Linked DNA regions of Caenorhabditis elegans. The protein of the gene in region 1 purifies or fractionates together with the protein of each later gene. This does not show direct contact. Each region holds a gene or a part of one and is shown in the gene's direction. Other genes may lie near its edges.

Region 1 (4,545 bases):
TTGTTCTAGAATTCCGATGTCTCGAACGAGCCAAAGGAAATGTCGCTGCTCAGAAGAAGAGGAAACGAAAGGCACCTGTTAACAGAGGGTAAAAATTTGTAAAATTCTGGCTTCAATGTAAAAATAAAATAATTTTTTAGACCACCAATCAAACGCGAACGCTTTGATGACAGCAATTATAGAAATTCTGGAGTTATCAATAACCAGGTATGCAAATAAAAAGTGTTTCGGTGGTTTGAAAATAATACAAATTTAATTTTAAAATAACACATTTTTCTTTCAGGTCTATTTCTCTGATGAAGATGAAGATCTGTATGATGAGCTCGATTTAGAAGAATAGTTGTACCTAATTGATGCAGCCTACCCATTCATTGTAATTTTTAAAAAATCTCAATTTGCAATCATTATCTGATTACCTTTCTACATCATCTCGTCATAATTTCTCTAGTTTTAGCTTTCTATCTTCCAGTATATCTTGTTCTTTCAATTGTTCTGTGTGCTTCAAAATTCATGCTTTATCCGCTTTTTTCCTGTTCTTTTCTTTCTCTGTTTGCCGTTACCATCATCAACATCATAAGTCATCATCGAATCAACACAATCTCCTATCCATTTTTTTGTAAAATTAACACAATGATCAGAAAAACAATTCTCGCTTCCTTCTAGCTCTTTCTCTCTCCACATCCCACTATGTGCTCTCTACTTCATGTCTTCATCATGTTCCCCTCAAGCCCAGCAAATCTTAATTTTTCCTTATTTTCCATTATCTATTTTTCCTCATGAATCCCAGTTTTAAAAACAAGTAGCAGATTTTTTTTTGTTCTGAAACAATTCGCAAAAATTCCACAAAAAGTCCTTAAAAACAAACGAGTTCGTATTATAAAACTGTAACCTACCTTTTCCCAAAGTTGTTGTATTTCATTTTAATTATTTTAGAATGTGATTTTTCTACAATTCCCTTTTCATGATTCATCCTTTTTCTAGATTTAGTTATTGTCTCCCTTTACCATTTTTCTCGTTTTTGTCCATTAAATATGTTCATGATTAAATTTCAATGTCCGTATCTTTACAGAAGGTTTATGAATTTTTCAAAGTTACGAATTGTCAAAGAAACCAGAAAATCACAAAAAAGATTCAATTGAAAAAATAAAGAATTATTTACTGTCCAGTGTCCTTACGAGCTGTTGCACGGAACGCTCGTTCTTTTTCAAACTGGCGATTATCAGCTCGGTTTAAGAAGTCCATTTTGTTCAGATAACCGCCTTTCCCTCGGTTATGAGATTCCAAATCTTCCTGAAAAACAAACAATTTATTCAAAAACCTTAAACTTAAAGAAACATACTTTTAAATTATTTTGCGTCGTAAAATCTTTCCAATCTCGATCAGATTTCTCCAAAACAGAAATTTTAGAACGCTTCGACAGTGATTTTGCAGCATCAAGCAAGCCGACTCTTTTCTTTCCGGGTACAATGCTACTTTCAGACGATGTTCCAGCTGTTTCCGTTCTGAAAAAAATTATTAGAAAAATAAGAAAAAGTTGTTTTTAAATTTGTATCAAATAAAAACTCATGTCAACTCACTTTTTCGGATAAACCTTCTGATTTGTAGACTCGTTGGATGCAGATCTGTAAAATACATTTTTAAAAGTTATTTCTACTTGTTTCAAACATACGCTGCTGATTTTGGATACACCCTTTCTTCAGTTTTTGGAATATTCTTGCTTGATGTATCGTTGACAACTGGTTTCGGTGCTAGCCCAGTTAATTCTGCAAATATCGCATCCACATCAACACTTCCTTCAGTACTGTTTGCCTTTTCTGATGTATGGTCGTCACTTTGTTTTTCATTTTTCAGATGTTCAACTTCTTCGTCAATTCCATCTTCGCATTCTTCTTGATCATCGATCTGTTGAGGAGAATGAGCAATAAAAGGGCGATATCTAGGAATGCTTACTTCATCCTTTGGATCAAAATCGGTATCCTTTGTTGGATCGTAATCTTCATCGGACGATGAGTTGTAGTCTTCTTCGTTATTTTTAAGCTCCGAGGTCATTTTTCTGAAACAATTTATATTTTAAATAGTTTCACAATTTCAGTGAGAATTCAAAAGAATAAAATATGAATTAATATATTTATAAAATATGAATTAATTTATATTATAATATTATCTCAAAAAAAGTAGCGCGAGATAATTTTTCTTATTGAAGTACGCAATTGTGCGTGGTATTCAGTGTAAAATTCGACGGAGCGCACATGCTTTATGATGACTTAGCCGCCATTTTTGCATTTCATTGTCGAAATTCACTTCCTTTCATTTTTTCAAAGCACTCCCTTCAAAAACTTCATTTATATTGTTTCAGAACCAAAATGAATGCTCACGACGAAGTCCAGCGCACACTGTAAGTCATTAAACCTATATTCGTTTGAATTAACTCAATTTTTCAGGAATCCTACTTGTACCGGAACATCGGTTATCGCTCTCCAGTATAAAACTGGGGTTGTTGTCCTTACTGATCGAGTTGTTTCCTATGGAAAAATGGCTCGTTACAAGGTTTGAATTTCCGTTCAGCTGAAAGTGGATTTTCATAATATTTGTTTCCAGAATGTTTCTCGTCAATACAAGGTCAATGATAATGTTCTCATTGCCTTCGGAGGAGATCACGCTGACTTCCACTGGCTTCAAAATGTGATCGAGCGTCAGGTTCTTCTCTGGAAGCGCTTCGATCAGGATATTGGACCAAAAGCTCTCCACGGATACCTCACAAGCCTTCTCTACGCCAAGTCTGTTTTCCTAATTAAATTGAAAGTTTAAGTAAAAAATTTCAGACGTTGCAAGATGAACCCAGTGTGGAACACACTTGTTGTCGCCGGAGTCGAAGAGGAGGAGAAGAACAACAAGGAGACTAGCACACCTTTCATCGGTGTCATTACTCAGAAGGTAAACTTGAAAGCGTTAACTTGCCGGATCAGAATCTCATGATTAAATAATCACATAATAATTATTCTAAATTTCAGGGATGCGCATATCAAGTGAAGCACATTGCAACTGGACTTGGAGCGTTCCTCCTCAACCAAGCTGTTGAAGATGAGTGGAGAAAGAAGGGAGAAGACCTCTCCCGTGAAGAGGCAGAAGCCGTGCTTCGCAAATCGCTTGAACTTACTCTCTACCACGACTGCGTCGCTGACAATGAGTTCGAAATCGGACGTGTTGATGCGACAGAAGGTGTCGTTTTGGGTAAAGAAGAGAAGATTATTGGTGACTGGTCGATTGCCGAGACTAACTGTCAATATGAATAAGTTTTCCCCGGTGTGCAGGATGCGTTTCAGTATCTCCATGTTTAACTTATTTGTATCCTTCTTTTCAAAACATTTTACTCTCTCCAACCCACGTTTTCGGTGTAAATTTTATTTATTTTCGCGTGAAGTCGATAAATAAACTTCCATTTAATCCTTCTATTCACGTCTAAGTATTCACACGCATCATTTCACAAGTGCTCGAGTCAAAAATAGCGAGCATGAATTTCTCTGGTTTAAAAAGTATGATGAGTTTTTGGTTTAAAGTAAAATCGAGCGCTTTCAGGTAAACTCCAAAAGCTCAGTTTATCACCATCGCCTGATAAACAGAAATCTGATTATGAAAAGAAACAGGCGAAGAAGATGAGCTACAAAAAGAAGATGCAGCAGCGGTATAAACTGAGTGATGATCAGTATGAAACTCACAAGTAATTAAATAAATTGATGTATATGTAATAACTTATCTGATTTGGTTTCCAGGAAGGATGCTCAGAAACAACTGAAAAATTGGGAAGAATTTCGAAAGGAGCAAGTAGTTGAAATCTTTCATACGCAGTCTCAATACGTTTCGAAATCGAAAAATTCAGACGTGGTAAGCATACAGTATATATATATATATATCTCGCCGCGCAAAGGAAGTGCTTAATTACGGTTTTTACTATCCATCTAAAAAGTTAAAAAGAAATACATTATTTCTTGAAATTCAGCGCCATCCAAAGATGCAACGAGCCAATACGGTTGTCAATCGTCAAGGAGTGAAAGTTGATGTAGAATTTGGACGATTGAAAGAATACTACTTATCCACTTTGGCTCCACAAAAAAAGTTTGTGTCGATTCGTGATCACGTAACATAGAGATTATAGAGAAATTTACTTTAACCATGAACTTTAGGCAGCTCGTGAAAAGGAACTGGACGCTCTTCGTAAGAAACAGAAAATCAGTTTGGAGCAAAGGAAAGATAAACAGGACAACATAAAAAAGTCCCAAGCAGAGTACGATCAGATGAAAAGGTTTCAATGGGTCGAATGGTTTTATGTAGAAATTATCATATTTTAGCTTATACGCTGCCCCTGTCGATCCCAAGCAAACAAAAGTGGAAACAATGGAGCAAAAAGAAGTTTTAGAGCCAACAGCCCCGATGGAGAAATTCGGTAAAACTACGAAACAATACAGAAATCGGAGTGTTTATTTTCAGTTGTGAATACCACTGACGACAAAAGAGCCCTGTTCCCAGCCAGTTGGTATCAACAACCGA
Region 2 (5,328 bases), on another chromosome or scaffold:
ATATACAACATTTCTTTATTTGTCAAAGTGAAATAGTTTTGAACAAACACTATTCAAAAAAGTAATTTTAAATTGAAATTATATCAAATTCACGATTTGTTCCCAAATATTTTAAACTGAAACTCAATAAGAGAAGATCTCATATTCTCACTGATAATCCGAAACATGACATTTGTTTCAATGCTGTTTTCAACCTCAAGTTGTAAAATTCAAAAACCAAGCTGAAAATATGTTTTAAAAATCTAGAAACTACAATAATTTTTATGTGAATTTTTGGAAAAATCTCAAGCCAGACGGAGCACGCGCCTTGGCGCGTGCGAACGGCTGGTAAGTTATAAAATCACAAACACGTTTCACGTGAAAACACCCAAAAACTGATCCGTTTCTCTGTCAGTCCTTAGTTTACATTCATCGTCATCTCAACGATTCTTGTCACTGTTTAAGATAAGACTGGCATGCTCCGTAAACAAAATTCGAGCTCCTTGAGCATCTTCTTGCTAGTTCTGCTGCTTCTTATTTCAGTGTCTATTTTTATCACGTCCAATCAAATCAGTAAGTTTCAAAAGATCATAGTTATGCTAGTTACACGGGAAAATTCAGATCGTAAATTGGAACAATGCTCTTTGCCGAGCTTCACACGACAAGCTCGAGTGCTTAACCCAGCAGCTCTTTACACTTCCCATTCTGCAAAAGAGGTCCGCAAATCTTCTTTTAAATCTGCGGATCAGGCCCGGAAGCTACTGATTGCTGCAGCAAAGTTAAATGACAACAAGGACTTTTACGCGAAGGTGAAGACGGAAGCTCATTGTGAGAATATGGAAAGAATTGGAGAGTCAGGAGACGGGGGAAAGTATGTTTGCAATCCAAAAATGGTTCGAAATGGGTGCACGTTGATGTCATTGGGACTTAACAATCAAATAGAATACGATGAACACATCCACAAAGCTACAGGGAAGCAATGCATCATACTTGGAGCAGATATTGTGAGTTTAAAACGTTTGAATTTTAAATATTCACTCTGTAAATTAAGGGAGAACAAAACGAAAAGACGAAAGAGTCATACAAGAATATCAATGGCCAATTGTTCGTAGGAAAAATCCCGGACAATCTGCCCATCTCATCGATGCTCGAGAAGTCTGGTAGAAGTGAGATTGAGCTGTTGAAAATGGATATTGAAAATGGAGAGTTCACTGCTTTGGAGCCACTGATCAAGGACTATTTTGTTTGTCAGATCTTCATTGAAATTCATGGAACCCCGTTGAATCACTTTGAACTGCTCCAAACCATGGCAAAATACGGCTTCCGTATCTTCAACGTGGACCCTAACCCATATTGCGAGGCATGCTGTGAGTACAGTCTCATCAACGACTTTTGTATGGCACAGTTTGAAGTTACTCCGTTGGCCAGCATCATTCCACCAGTAACTGTATGAGTTTTTGTTTTGTTTTTATTTTATTTTATTTGTGTTTTAAATAAAGTTTATGTAAATTGAATTCTTGGTTTTATTTCGACACTAAACCAAATCAGTGCTTATTAACGTGTACTCATATTTTTCGGCTTTATCCGTTTCTAGTTGAAATTCTTTTTGACTCAATTTTGCAGCATCTAATTTTCACTGAGTTTCACAGCTTTTATTAATTGATGGAAAATTAGTAGAATTCGTTTTTTCTTAATCAAAAGTCTATATTGAAAAAAAATTATTACAATAATAAATCATTGATTTGACCTTTTTATGCTTTTTTCAAGGCAAAGCTATACCCAAAAAACTCACTAGTTCATCTGAAAATGAAACAATAACCAAACACAGATTGTTCAAGCCAAACATTTTATATTGATTTTACAAAAAAAAACTTTAACATACAAAACTTTTTTTGATTCATATGAAAAAGGTCGGTGAAATCATAGCTGCTGCAGACGCCTTGATGTTTGATGACGCATCACAAATGTTTTAGCATTGACTGCATCCGGAAGAACTAATTGGTGTTTGACTCTGATTGAAGTCTGAAATCTCTTTCATATAGGCTTGAGATTTAATCTAAATAGAACAAATAGAGGTTAAGGGGTCAGATCGGATTTTTATTTGAAAACTTACAAATTTTTTTTTCAATTTTTTCGAAAAGCTAGTGTCTGCAAGAGGTTTGCAGTTTCTATAAAACATCTTTTTCTTGAGGCCCATGATTTGCCAGTTGCTATATTCCTACTTGACTATGCCCTCTTGTTTTGCAGAGTTTTAATTTCAAATTTCAATACGTCAATCTATAAGAAACAAAAGGAGGAAACATCACTGACCACCGTTCTCTTTCCTTCTATTCGTCAGTTGTCTCGATGCGATCAAACTATCACTTTCCCCCTCTGCGTCTCTTTCATATTTTGCCTGCAACTCTCACTGCGTCTCTATCTCTCCCTCTCTTGCCTGCCAAACGGACAAAAAGTCCACTTTAGTTTTCTTCTACCACGTGCTCTCGGTTTTCGTGATTTTCGTTTGATTTTTTTTTCAAATTTTCAGCAGATGTTGCTACGAAATGTGCTCTCCAAAGGTCTTCGGCTCAGAAATTCCAGCAGTTACTGCTTGAGGCGTAGGTTTTATATTTTACAAGTTCAATTTTTTAAGAAAATATACTTTCAGCGGGTGTTGGACTCGAACGCGACGTCGAAGATGTTTTGGAAGCCGCCCATCAATTTGCCAAGAAAGAAATGTACCCAAAAATGGCAGATTGGGATAAGCAGGTAAGATTTTCCCAAAAACATTCTTTTAAAAAATGATTTGAAATTTTTCAGGGAGAGCTCCCGATGGACGTGCTCCGGAAAGCTGGAGAAATGGGATTCGGAGCCATTTATTGCAGTGGCGACCATGGAGGATCCGGGCTCTCTAGACTTCATGCTTCAGTAATTTTTGAGCAGCTTTCAATGGGATGCGTGTCGACGGCAGCTTATATTTCAATTCATAATATGTAAGTTAGCTTTAAAAAAAACTAGTGAACTATATATCTTATAGGTGCGCCTGGATGCTGGATACCTACGGCCCGGAGAAGCTTAAAGAGGACTTGCTCCCAGACATGGCTGTTTTCAAAAAGCTCGGATCCTACTGTCTCACAGAGCCAGACGCGGGCTCCGACGCCGCAAGCATCAGAACCACGGCTACCAAAAAAGGAGATTATTATGTTGTCAACGGATCGAAAGCTTTTATCAGTGGAGCAGGAACTTCAAATAAGTAGGTCTTTCTTGAGATATTCTGTTTAAATATTGTAAAAAATTTAGCTACTTCGTTATGATGCGGCAGGATGGTGCAGCTCCGGGAGCCAAGGGAATTTTCTGTCTTATGATTGAGGATGGAACTGAGGGATTCAGTTACGGGAAGAAGGAGGATAAGCTTGGGTGGAACTCACAACCAACAAGGATTTTGACTTTTGAGGATTGCAAGGTGAGCGTTTTAGAAGTTTTAATTTTAAGAAGTATTAATTGACTGTTTTCCGATAAAAGAAACGATTGCCCTGAGCATTTGTATAAATTTCCATTTTCCATTTTCCAGGTACCAATCACTAATCAAATTGGAAAAGACGGGTTCGGCTTCAACATCGCAATGGCTGGGCTCAACGGAGGACGCATTAACATTGCGAGTTGCTCACTAGGAGCTGCTCAAAGGAGCATGGACTTAGCTATTGAACATTTGAAATATAGAAAACAATTTGGTAAGAGCTTGGCAGACTTCCAGTATAACCAGTTCAAGCTTGCGGAGCTCGCCACAAAATTGTATACTAGCAGGTGAGATTTTCTTGTCAACTAGAAACTTTTATAAAAAATTTGAACTTATTTTCAGACTAATCGTTAGAAACGCCGCGGAGCAACTAGACAATGATGATCCGGAGAAGGTGGCTCTTTGTGCAATGGCGAAGCTTCACGCCACTGATAATTGTTTCGATGTGAGTAATTTTTCAGCCGACATTTGACAAAGTTTCTTGTTCCAGGTCGTCAACGGAGCTCTGCAGATGTTCGGTGGCTACGGATTCCTGAAAGATTATCCGGTTCAACAGTACCTCCGCGACATCCGAGTTCACCAAATCCTTGAAGGAACCAATGAAATGATGAGATTGTTGATTAGCAGGGACCTGCTCACTAAGGATGTATTCTGGAGCTCCTGAGCCATATTTGTCTCCAAGGAATTTTAGAAATGGGTATTTCCAATTGCTCATGGCATTTTGCTATTTATTACAAACTTTTATTGAATATAAATGTTTTAGATTTTCCTTTTTTCTGCACAAAAACGAAATTAAAGACTAAAAATTAATGCTCTTTTATTTGTAAGCATATTCTATCACAATTTTCTTTTCACTGTGTGGATAGGAGCTTCACGTCCCTAGAACATCACAACCAAGCATCGTTCCTGATCCCGGTAATGAGTAGGCTCATATATTTTGGCCCAGTTGGCAAAGCAGGACCGATAAATTTTGGTGGATTCTCAGCAACTCCATGAAGCCATTCAAAGACTTGAACACGAGCACATGGATCATTTTCATTCATTGGTTGGTCGTAGATATTCACTCAAGAGTTGATCCAAACTGCCCGAAAAGTTTGGGGTGCTCAACTTCAATTGTTTCAAAGCCGATCCTGTCAACTGTCGGCAACAATTTTACCAAACTACGTTTTTACCTAATTCTAATAATTGGGTTCAAATGATTTATTGTTTCAAAAAATAAATTTATAGTTCTAAGACATTTTGAGTTCCGAATCTTTTGTCAAACTTTCAGTTTCATAATCTAGCTCTAAACCTTCCAGATCGCCGTCTTCTCCAGCAGCAGCTCTTGCACAGCAGCAAATTCCGGTACAAACGCAGGAAACAATGGATCCAACAATTCCACAGAAAAACAGAAAAACTAGAATGCAAATGACGGCAATTGCAACTTCAACCGTCATGTACCACTCGCAGTAGTTGGTCTGCTCACAGCATTCTTTCCAGAGAGCGTTGGTACTTTTGCAGGCGTCATCAAGACAGTAGTCGCTGCTAGCGGTGTCCGAAATAGAGATTCATTAGAAAAAAGCTCGTGAGAGGTCGGACGCTGCAGGGAAGCGATTTAGCAGAGCAGCCCTGGGACTCGGCTGCTAGATTTATTATCTTCAGAAATGGGTTTAAAATGTCGGCTGCTACTTTTTTGTTGTCACAAAAGCGCCTAGTGTCGGTACATCTTCAAAACTTACATGATCGACATTTCTCGGCAAGATCTGAATTATCAAACAGCGACATGATGCAAGTTCTCAAAAACCGATAGATACAACTGGTAATGATCGAACATATGCAGTTGTAAAGATTATATTCTCACGTTTTCTAATAAT
Region 3 (5,452 bases), on another chromosome or scaffold:
AAGTTGTCACCAAAGTCCATTTCCTGAGCTGGTTGTCTGTCATCATCATCATCCATGCGCACATCATTAAAGAATTCATCAACGGCTGGTCCCTGCGCTTGAATATCTTCTTGAATGTCCTCATTGAGGTTCAAGTCCTCCCATGGCTCAGCTTGAGCTTCCATTGACGGAGTGAAACTCGAACTATCGCTCAACTCTTGCATGGTGTAATTGAGATCGAACTCTCGGGTGACCAAACATCTCCTGTATCTTTGAAGGAGTTCTCTGTTGAACATTTTGCATCCAGGTTCACGGCTGAGGTGTTGAAGATCTCCGCTGACGCATAAATTGAACATCTTTCTGGTAGGAGGCGCCATTTCAACTACTCGCATCGTATCGGAGAAGTCTTCTTGTTGCTCTCGGAAAGCGTCGTTTGAAATCATAGTTTCAGCATCGACAATCAGCTTTCTCGCTTTTCTCTGACGTTTTTTCCGTCCTTCCATGTGCTCCACATCTAGAGGCTCCAGGGCAAATGACTCGGGACTTTGTGGTCTCGATGGCTCAACGTTTTCAGGCTCGAACGGTTGATAGTCAAAGTCCATACCATCGTCGTTTTGAACATCTGCGACAGCATGCTCTCTGACGGGATGAATCATTGAGCTGAACATATCAGCAGGCCCAACACCACCATCGTTTTCCAGTGTTTGATTCTCAACCTTCAGGTTCATTTCAGGCATGAAATTTCCGCCTTCCTGATTGTCAAAAATAAGATTTGGACGTGTTGGTCCTTCGGAGAAAATCACACTATCCGCATCTATACGGGAAATTTCCGTTCCATTTGCAGCCACATCACGATCTCGTTCGACTTCCATCAACGATTCTGGCTGAGGAGTGGGGCGCAAAGACAAAGGTTCCACCGATCCGTAGAGATGATCGAGTTGCCAAGATTCTCCTTCGTCACCGAACCCATCGAAATCTGCGTCAATGTTGAACTCGACATTGAAATTGACGGTTTCTTTCATGGTGATGTCTTCACGACGGCTCACATTAGCCTGAAACAGCGATTAAATTGAATGTGAATTGCTTTTAATACAACGCACCATAATGAGCTGCTCATTGTAGTCGGCATCGTGGAACTCGGGCACTGTGATATTGTACTTATCAATGAAGTTTGAGAAATCCTCTTCAATTTCTGCATTCTCTGGAATGTCGACTTCAAAACTGAATCCGTTGCGGAAGTTAATCTTCATCTGAAAATTTACTTTGTTTTTGTCGTTCTAAATTATCTTTAATTACCTTTTGATACGCTTCATTTGTATCAGCCAGAAGATATCGTGTCTTCTTCGAGTAGATTCTCACGATTCCAAGGAGAAGATGTCCAACTGTTCGGAGCGCCATTTTAACCTTGGGGCGAATGACTTCCTCGATCGCTTGGGGAACATCTGTTTCGAAGATTTGCGCCTTTGTCAGCTTTTTTTCCCAGTGAGCTGCCAGCCACACTTTTGCCAACGGTCCCTTTTTGGCGAGAACGAACTGTGCATAGAACATCTGAAAATAGCATGAGATAAACAATAGATTGTTAACGTCAAAGAGATCATAGATTAGAAAATTCCTGAGAAAACATGATAAAAGAGCAAAAACTGGAAGAATAAGTATGTTCAAATGATCACAATGAGAGAAGCAATAGTTTTAAAATGAGGCAAACATTGAAAATGCGGTAAATTTCTGATGATGAAGACAAAACGCTCGAAAAATCGTTTTCAAATATTTTTGTCTTCCTCCTCCTGGGTCTTACCGCGATTTGAGGTACGGTAACACTCGTTTCAGCTGTGCGGATTGTCACTCAAGAAATAATTATTTTCTACTCTCTACCTTTAAAATTTTTGTGCATTTAAAAGTAATATTTTTATAGGTTTTGAAGTTATTTTTCAATTAAAAAAGCAGAACTATATATTCTAATTATTGTTATTCCAGATATGGCCGACAGACGCGAACCGATCCCGGTTGACCCGGTCGATGTCGGAGAACTAAGCGAACTTGACAATTTGGCTCATTTGGCCGCTCATGTAAGTTTTAAAACGTTTTCGAGAATTTATCTGTAGATTTCATTAAATGATTTTCAGGGTGGAGATGGTCGTTTGTTCAAAATGGAGCAGGACTACTCGAAACAAGTCGACGAAGCACTTCTGAAAGCCCGAGATATCGCTCAAAAGGACGCTGTTGCTGCTGTAGAGAGTCTGAACAACATCGAAAAGCTCACTCGTCTTGGAGCTGACATGAAGAGCAATACACGCGTTGTTCAATATATGGTGATAATACTTTTCAAATTAAAAAAAAAATATTAATTCTGATATTTGCAGACGAAGCTTTGTTTCGAAGGGCAGAAATGGGATCTTCTTATGGAAACAATCATGACGCTTTCAAAGAAAAGACTTCTCATCAAAATGGCTATCGCAAAGATGGTCCGTGATGCTGTCGCAATGATTGACAAAATGCCAACCGAGGACCTCAAGATGAAGCTTATTGAAACTCTTCGCACTGTTACAGCTGGAAAGATCTATGTGGAAGTGGAACGTGCTCGCCTCACCTCGATGGTTGTGAAGAAGTTGGAGAGAGAGGGAAAGCTTGACGAAGCTGCAACCATGCTTCTTGAACTTCAAGTGGAAACATATGGCTCCATGGAAATGCGAGAGAAGGTGCAATACCTTCTCGAGCAAATGAGATATTCTCTCGTTCGTAATGATTTTGTGCGAGCCACTATTATCTCTAAGAAAATCAATATCAAGTTCTTCAACAAGTCAGACGAAGATGAAGTACAGAACCTGAAGCTGAAATACTACGATTCGATGATCCGTATCGGACTTCACGATGGAAACTATCTGGACGTGTGCCGTCATCATCGTGAAATTTATGAGACGAAAAAGATTAAAGCTGATTCAGCCAAGGCGACCTCACATCTTCGTTCTGCCATTGTCTACTGTCTTTTGGCTCCGCACACAAACGAGCAATGGGATCTCCTCAACCGAATTGCCATTCAAAGAGAATTGGAAACCGTTCCAGACTACAAGGTAAGCTGTGCGATTTGAATTTAATCTAATTATTGTTTTCTTTTCAGATCATTCTGGATCTTTTCATCAACCAAGAACTCATTTCTTTCAAAGGAACCATTGTCGCAAAGTACGAGAAGCTTTTAAGACGTGGAACAACTAGCTCACCAGACACCGGAATTTTCGACAAATCAACTGAAGGAGAGAAGCGGTGGTCTGATTTGCACCTTCGTGTTGGAGAGCACGTAAGTTAAAATTTTAATAAGTTAAAAACCTGTTAAAATTTATAAATTTTTATTTGTATTTTTACAGAACATGCGTATGATTGCCAAGTACTATACTCAAATCACTTTCGAACGTCTCGCTGAGCTCCTCGACTTCCCAGTTGATGAAATGGAATCATTTGTGTGTAACCTCATTGTTACCGGTCAGATCACCGGAGCAAAACTTCATCGCCCTTCCCGTATTGTCAATCTTCGTTTGAAAAAGGCAAATGTTGAGCAATTGGATGTATGGGCGAGCAACGTGCACAAACTGACGGATACATTGAACAAAGTTTCCCATCTCATTCTGAAAGAGCAAATGGTTCACAAGAACTTGGATCTCGCGGCCCCACGGGCATAAATTTAACCACTTTTTTGTGTATAATTCCGCCATCATGTGTATTTTTCTTATTGATGTTCGCCCTCCCCAATTTCTTCTTTTTCGTGCACCTTCTCCGGTTTTATCATTAATTTATTAATACTGTCGATCGATTTCATCCTTTCACTCTTCGGTTTGATAGTAAACGTATACGTGCTCAATGTGTATTACTAGCTTTTGAAGAAACAATTTTATGGAACAAGTTGTAAGATAGAGGTAACGGGAAACAAATGGATCATCACAGGTTTGAGTTGATTTTCTAGGAAATTGATAAGAAGCTATAACATGAGTGCACCAATTACTGATAAACTTGATATCCATTCTCATCCTCTTCCAAATGTTCTCGTTCAGCAGAAACCAACAACTGAGCTAAATCGGTTTTGTGGACGATAAAAGTGAGGAAAAGTGAGGTCAACATGAAGCATCCACAAACAATGAAAAGATATTCAAATCCGATTTCAGAAAGAGCATGTGTTGAAATGAGTCCAGCGATTAGTCCGGCGACACTCTGAAATGTATTCATGTATTCGCGAATACGGTACCCGGTCTCGAAACGAGAAATTTGTGTTAAAAACAAATAGGTAAGCGCCTTTAAAGTGTACTGTAGTTTCAAACTTTCGCTACTGCGACATTTTCATCGTTTTTCTCACATTTTTTTAAATGTATGTGTTTAAAATGTTTTATTTCATTTATAAAAATTCCGCATCGACGCAAGTTTGAAAGTACAGTACTCTTTAAAGGCGCACATCCCTTTGCATTTAACAAAATTTTGTCGTGTCAAGACCGGGTGCTTTTTCACAAAAACCGGAAAATTTCGCATCCCGGTAATAAGTTCCACTTACCACTGCACACTGCAAAAATCCATACATAACACTGAAATTCGCCTTACTAAAACACTTGTGCGTGATGTAAGGAAAGATTGAAAATGTGCCTCCGATGCAGGAAAACATCAGACAAACCTGAAAAACTGTAATTTCAATGAGAAAAAAAAAGAAAAAAACGAACGGTGGCCAAAAACAGAACATCATTGGATACCATTTTCACCAGTGGCATCGAAAATGCCAAAACTGCTCCCAGGCTGCACACAATCGACATGGAAAATTGATAGGATGTCTGAAAATTTGATTTGAAATTAATTATTGGAAAATCAAGACCGCTCCGCCTTCAAACGTTGGGTCTCGTTAGGTATTAGCGGTAAGAATTTTTAAAAAACATGTTTTCGGTATTTCTTTAGAGTTTAACTGTTTTGTCGCCAATACCCAACGAGACCCGACCCTTGGGGGCGTAGCGCGAATTTTTCTGCGACTCCATAATAAAATAACCGTATCCGCAATTGCACCCCAAAAAACTCTGCTCCCAGCGTTGAAAATCGAGGATATCGATCCGATCAAGCTCAAAAAGAAGTCAGAATCGATAAATTGTTGCCCATAAGCTTTGTAGAGACCACTTGTGAGTTGGACCCAAACGGCATTGCATGTCAACGACAGGAATAGTACTAGGAAAGTTGTGGTTCTGAAAAAAAAACCCGTTATTTGTCTGTATAATGCCTCGCGGCAGGACTTACCGTAACTGCGGCCAAACCCTCGCCTGTTCCACGCGAATTTCACTGTTCGTCCCAATCAAATTCTCCGTTTCAACGTGAATATCGCCTTCCGGTTGCCCGATAAAAATGAGCCCAATCGATTGAAAAACCGTAAAAAAGATGGACATCACGATGAAAACGTAGGGAACCCGTTCCAAAAGATCCTCTTGAGTGAAGAATCCTTGATCGTTGACACGATAAT
Region 4 (4,135 bases), on another chromosome or scaffold:
GCAGTACTCTTTAAAGGCACACACGTTTTTGTGTTTTAAAAAAATTGCCGTGTCGAGAACGGGTACCGTATTTTCACATCAAAAATCGGAAAATTTAGTATACGGGAGATTGATAAAATCTTATTGAAAATTAAATGTTTTAAAAAATGCGGAAGGGAATTTCAAATTCCGCTCTTTTCTTTAACGATATTTTTATTTTTCGGAAATTGCTGAGACTCCTTTTCCACTTTAAATTATTGTATCAGTTTATAAAAGAAATTATCGGGTCTCGCCACGATACGTGCGCCTTTAAACCGTACCGTGCAATTCTCCATTTGAAGTGGTCCACCATCTTTCGACTCCTTTTTCAGAGTCGTGTTATGGATATTCGCAATTGTAAAGTCTTCGGCATTAACTTTTTCTCGACGATCCCTTAAAAATTAATTTTTCGGGTCCCGCAGCGATGCGCCTTTAATCTTTTTTTGAATTCCAGACCTAAATATCTAAAGAAACGAAACCTAGAAACCTCAGAGAGGCGCTATCAAAATGATTGCAACAGGTCTTGCAGCGAAATCGAATTTTTTTAAAAAATTCACTGCGAGACCACAAATTCCACTTACCACGAATACTTTGGAGGTTCACCTCCCTCTTCCGGTTTCGGCACCGCATCCTCGCTGACCTTGTAGCGATCCTCACGTTTAGACCGGCGCCCAAAAAGCTTTTTCGAAAAACAACAGCTCATTGTTCGAGGCTCCCGCAGAATATGCGAAAGTGAGTGAATGAGCAGCGCGAGTTGCTCGGCGAGAGCGCGCGTTGCTATGGAAACCCATGTGAGAGCATCACGTCGCCTTCACTTCCGATGCGAAAGAGGAGGAGCGCAAGACGACGACTTTAATCAACAATTTATTACCACTTTCGTTCAAGAGGTTCAGAGGTTGGGATGGGGGATAATAGCTGCAACCAGCATTCACATATAATATTTGAGATGCGGGGAAGAGGATTATTGGAAAAAGGAGTGAACGAAAGTTTCAGTTGAATACATTATTTCGAGTTACAGAACAATGAAAAGACAACGAAAATGGGGGGAATGATGATTGATTTAGTTGGTCTGGCTTGGGCAGTCGCGGGAGATGTGTCCGGTCTCCTGGCACTGGTAGCAACGCTTCTCCTCGGCCGAGCCACTCTCGGTGCACTCGCGGGAAATGTGCCCGGAGCGTCCGCAATTGTAGCACTTTTGTCCGCCGAAGCTTCTGCCTTCTCCACCGCGGCCTCCGTAGCCACCGCTTCCTCCCTCAGATCTGGCGGATGGGCAGTCACGAGAGTAGTGTCCACGTCCTCCGCAGTTGTAGCACGATCCACCGCCGCCGCCACCTCCACGTTGTCCTCCTCCGGATCCTCCCTTGGGGCAATCGCGAGAGAAGTGTCCAGTCTCTTGGCAGTTGTAGCAGGTGGATCCTGAAATAACATGAAATTAGTCTCGAGATTTCCGCTGTAAATTTATCATCAAATAACTCCTAATCTCCGCCAGCTTAAACACATTTCTCTTCGCCTCCACTTCTCCAGAACTTCAAAAATTATTGCAATTCGGTAAGAAATCAAGAGATAATGTATTTACCTAAATCAACTCAACACCCCAAATTCAACACCACTCCACCTCCTCCACCTCCTCTACGTCCACCATCGGACTCGCCATTCGGGCAGTTGCGGGAGATATGTCCCGGCTGTTGGCACTTGTAGCAATTTCTGTCCGACATTACTGCAAATAATTGATTTTAGAAAAAAGAAATTATCAGTTGCGAGGAATTACAAAAAAATAAACGGTTGAATGTCACAATTTCAATCAAAAATGGCGAAAATTCAGAGAAACAAAAATCCAAGACAGTGAGGGCGAGAAATCATGGATATTCAGTGACTAACATGACAAAAACTAATAAATACATGGAAAACTAGTTATAAAAACCAGTTTTAACGGGAAAAAAGTCGGCGAAATCAGAAAAAATCAAAGAAAATGTGGCCAGAACGTGTCGATCGTCCCAAAATCGAATGTTGGCCGCGTGCCAGGAAAGTTAGATGTGCAGGCAGTCCGGTGGAGCGCCAATTCAAACGTCATTTTTGCTGCATTGAGATTTGATGACAATGTTTTTTCTGCTCGGGTTTCTCGTTTTTAATGATTTTATTCTGAAAAATAACTACTAAATTTGTTTTTATACATTATTATTGATTTCTTAACGTTAAAATAACTTTTAAAAAATGAATTTAAGTCGATATTTTGCAGATAATGGATACTATGCGAGATGAGAAGCGCAAAGCCATTCCGGCAATCGGGTTCTATCCACAGGAAGAAATCAGCACTGGAGTGAGATTTTTAAATTGAAATTTCCACTAAAAGCTCAATTTTCAGACCACTCTCATCGCTATGGAGTACAACGGTGGAGTTGTCGTCGGAACCGACTCGAGAACCAGCGCCGGCTCGTTCATCACCTCCCGTGCCACCAACAAAATCACCCCGATCACCGATAATATGGTTGTGTGCCGTTCTGGATCTGCAGCGGACACTCAAGCGATCGCCGATATTGCCAAGTACCATATTGATGTTTATACGTAAGGAATTTTCAGTTGTTTTAAAATTAAATAAAATAATTTTTTTAAATAATCACTTTTTTCAGCATGACAGAGAACAAGCCAGTGACAATCTACCGCTCGAGCCAGATTTTCCGCCAATTCCTCTACAACTACCGCGAGCAGCTCTCCGCCTCAGTGCTCGTCGCCGGCTGGGATGAGGAGCTCGGCGGCCAGGTCTACGCAATCCCAATCGGAGGATTCGTGTCCCGCCAGCGATCGACAGCTTCCGGCTCCGGTTCCACATTCGTGCAGGGCTTCCTCGACAGTCAATGGAGACCAAACTTGACGCTCGAGGAGTGCAAGGCGATCGTGAAGCAAGCCGTCGGACTCGCCACCTTCCGTGACGGATCCTCCGGCGGAGTTGTCCGTCTCGCCGTGATCAACAAAGCCGGCTCACAGTTCGAGCTGTTCCGTCCCGACAAACCAGGATTCCCATTCGTGCAGACACCAACTCCACATCTCTCTTTCCCACCGCACATCGAACAAGTCCTCTAAAATCGTTTCGTTTTTCGATCTTCTATTGTATTTTCCCCTGTGCGACTATACTGCTAAGTTATTTGATTTCCCTCAATATTTATGAAAATTCACACTTGTCATCATTTTCGTTTCAATGCTGCTGCTGCTACCGCTGCTATGTCAAAAGTGCAGTAATTGGTTAGCCAAGCTACGCAATTGACCGGTATTCTCCTCCGGGAAACTGGTCACGTGGAACGTCAAGCGATTTATTAGAGTTAATTTAACAGAAAGAGTTCATAAATTGCGAAAATATACACGTGGCAGGTTATGGAAAGACGAAAATATTGCAATGGGCGAGTATCTCTAGGGAGGAGAATATTCAAAAAAAAAATTGGGGGAAATTAGAAATTAAAATCTGCAATCGACGAACTGCAAAATTCTGCCAAGGATCGTCCACGTGTACTGGGAGCCGCCAACGTTTGTGCAAGTGGCGAGCAGAGACGGAGCCGCTGAGATTGAAGCTCTTTGCTGAAAAATTAAGAAAAATAAAAATAATTGTTCCTTGTGGTTTCTTAGTTTTCACAGCTGAAAAGATACGGAAAGTCTGCGGATTTTCAGCGAAAATTGTAATTTTTTCTAAAATTCTAAAAAAATCCCCGAAATTTCGAAAATCAGAGGAAATTTAAGAAAAAAAAAATCGATTTTGGAGCCAAAAATGCGTTACCCGGTCTTGACACGATTATTTTCCGTTAAATACAAACGGGTGTGCGCCTTTAAAGGGTACTGTAGTTTCAAATTTTTGTTTCTGCGCGATTTTCATCGATTTTTCATAGTTTTTCGTACTTTTTACTTTACATTTGTAATTTTTTAAAAATGAAATACTATTTTGAATCGAAAAATAACAAAAAATCGTTGAAAATTCCGCTGCACCAAAAGTATGAATCTACAGTACTCTTTAAAGGCGCACACCTTTTTGCATTTAAGGAACATGTGTCGCGTCGAGACCAAATTACCAAGAAATTCGATTAAAAATCCGATTTTTCGCTGATAATTTGAAAAATTTTCTGGATTTTTTAAA

The links.
Region 2: the proteins of pbs-7 (region 1) and acdh-9 fractionate together in Caenorhabditis elegans (co-fractionation; one large-scale study listed by BioGRID). This does not show direct contact.
Region 3: the proteins of pbs-7 (region 1) and rpn-5 fractionate together in Caenorhabditis elegans (co-fractionation; one large-scale study listed by BioGRID). This does not show direct contact.
Region 4: the proteins of pbs-7 (region 1) and pbs-1 fractionate together in Caenorhabditis elegans (co-fractionation; one large-scale study listed by BioGRID). This does not show direct contact.

Annotation. Positions count from the first base shown.
Region 1 is NC_003279.8:8,694,111-8,698,655, reverse strand, and holds pbs-7 (Proteasome subunit beta), read left to right. Parts: upstream 1-2,354; 5' UTR 2,355-2,363; coding exon 2,364-2,395; intron 2,396-2,441; coding exon 2,442-2,547; intron 2,548-2,598; coding exon 2,599-2,777; intron 2,778-2,822; coding exon 2,823-2,934; intron 2,935-3,011; coding exon 3,012-3,293; 3' UTR 3,294-3,451; downstream 3,452-4,545. Other genes in the region: tlf-1 (TATA box-binding protein-like 1), read left to right, coding at 1-88, 141-207, 284-340; F39H11.1 (Craniofacial development protein 1), read right to left, coding at 1,156-1,290, 1,340-1,502, 1,578-1,622, 1,670-1,902, 1,951-2,049; K07A12.5 (Pre-mRNA-splicing factor SYF2), read left to right, coding at 3,512-3,533, 3,577-3,718, 3,771-3,882, 3,998-4,135, 4,182-4,300, 4,347-4,441, 4,486-4,545.
Region 2 is NC_003280.10:845,782-851,109, reverse strand, and holds acdh-9 (Isobutyryl-CoA dehydrogenase, mitochondrial), read left to right. Parts: upstream 1-2,506; 5' UTR 2,507-2,509; coding exon 2,510-2,576; intron 2,577-2,626; coding exon 2,627-2,727; intron 2,728-2,778; coding exon 2,779-2,951; intron 2,952-2,995; coding exon 2,996-3,211; intron 3,212-3,258; coding exon 3,259-3,421; intron 3,422-3,529; coding exon 3,530-3,762; intron 3,763-3,817; coding exon 3,818-3,920; intron 3,921-3,965; coding exon 3,966-4,139; 3' UTR 4,140-4,246; downstream 4,247-5,328. Other genes in the region: F28A10.5 (Methyltransferase FkbM domain-containing protein), read left to right, coding at 456-552, 601-983, 1,031-1,432; F28A10.13 (60S ribosomal protein L35), read right to left, coding at 1,900-2,001, 2,093-2,176.
Region 3 is NC_003280.10:4,694,796-4,700,247, reverse strand, and holds rpn-5 (PCI domain-containing protein), read left to right. Parts: upstream 1-1,953; 5' UTR 1,954-1,955; coding exon 1,956-2,045; intron 2,046-2,102; coding exon 2,103-2,288; intron 2,289-2,339; coding exon 2,340-3,047; intron 3,048-3,094; coding exon 3,095-3,271; intron 3,272-3,338; coding exon 3,339-3,650; 3' UTR 3,651-3,827; downstream 3,828-5,452. Other genes in the region: scc-1 (Sister chromatid cohesion protein 1), read right to left, coding at 1-1,031, 1,080-1,229, 1,276-1,527; F10G7.5 (MFS domain-containing protein), read right to left, coding at 3,967-4,176, 4,511-4,627, 4,674-4,781, 4,991-5,180, 5,233-5,452.
Region 4 is NC_003282.8:1,707,865-1,711,999, reverse strand, and holds pbs-1 (Proteasome subunit beta), read left to right. Parts: upstream 1-2,254; 5' UTR 2,255-2,257; coding exon 2,258-2,335; intron 2,336-2,380; coding exon 2,381-2,580; intron 2,581-2,645; coding exon 2,646-3,096; 3' UTR 3,097-3,197; downstream 3,198-4,135. Other genes in the region: rpi-2 (Protein XRP2), read right to left, coding at 300-411, 600-721; K08D12.3 (CCHC-type domain-containing protein), read right to left, coding at 1,079-1,434, 1,634-1,733; pugs-4 (C6 domain-containing protein), read right to left, coding at 3,466-3,585.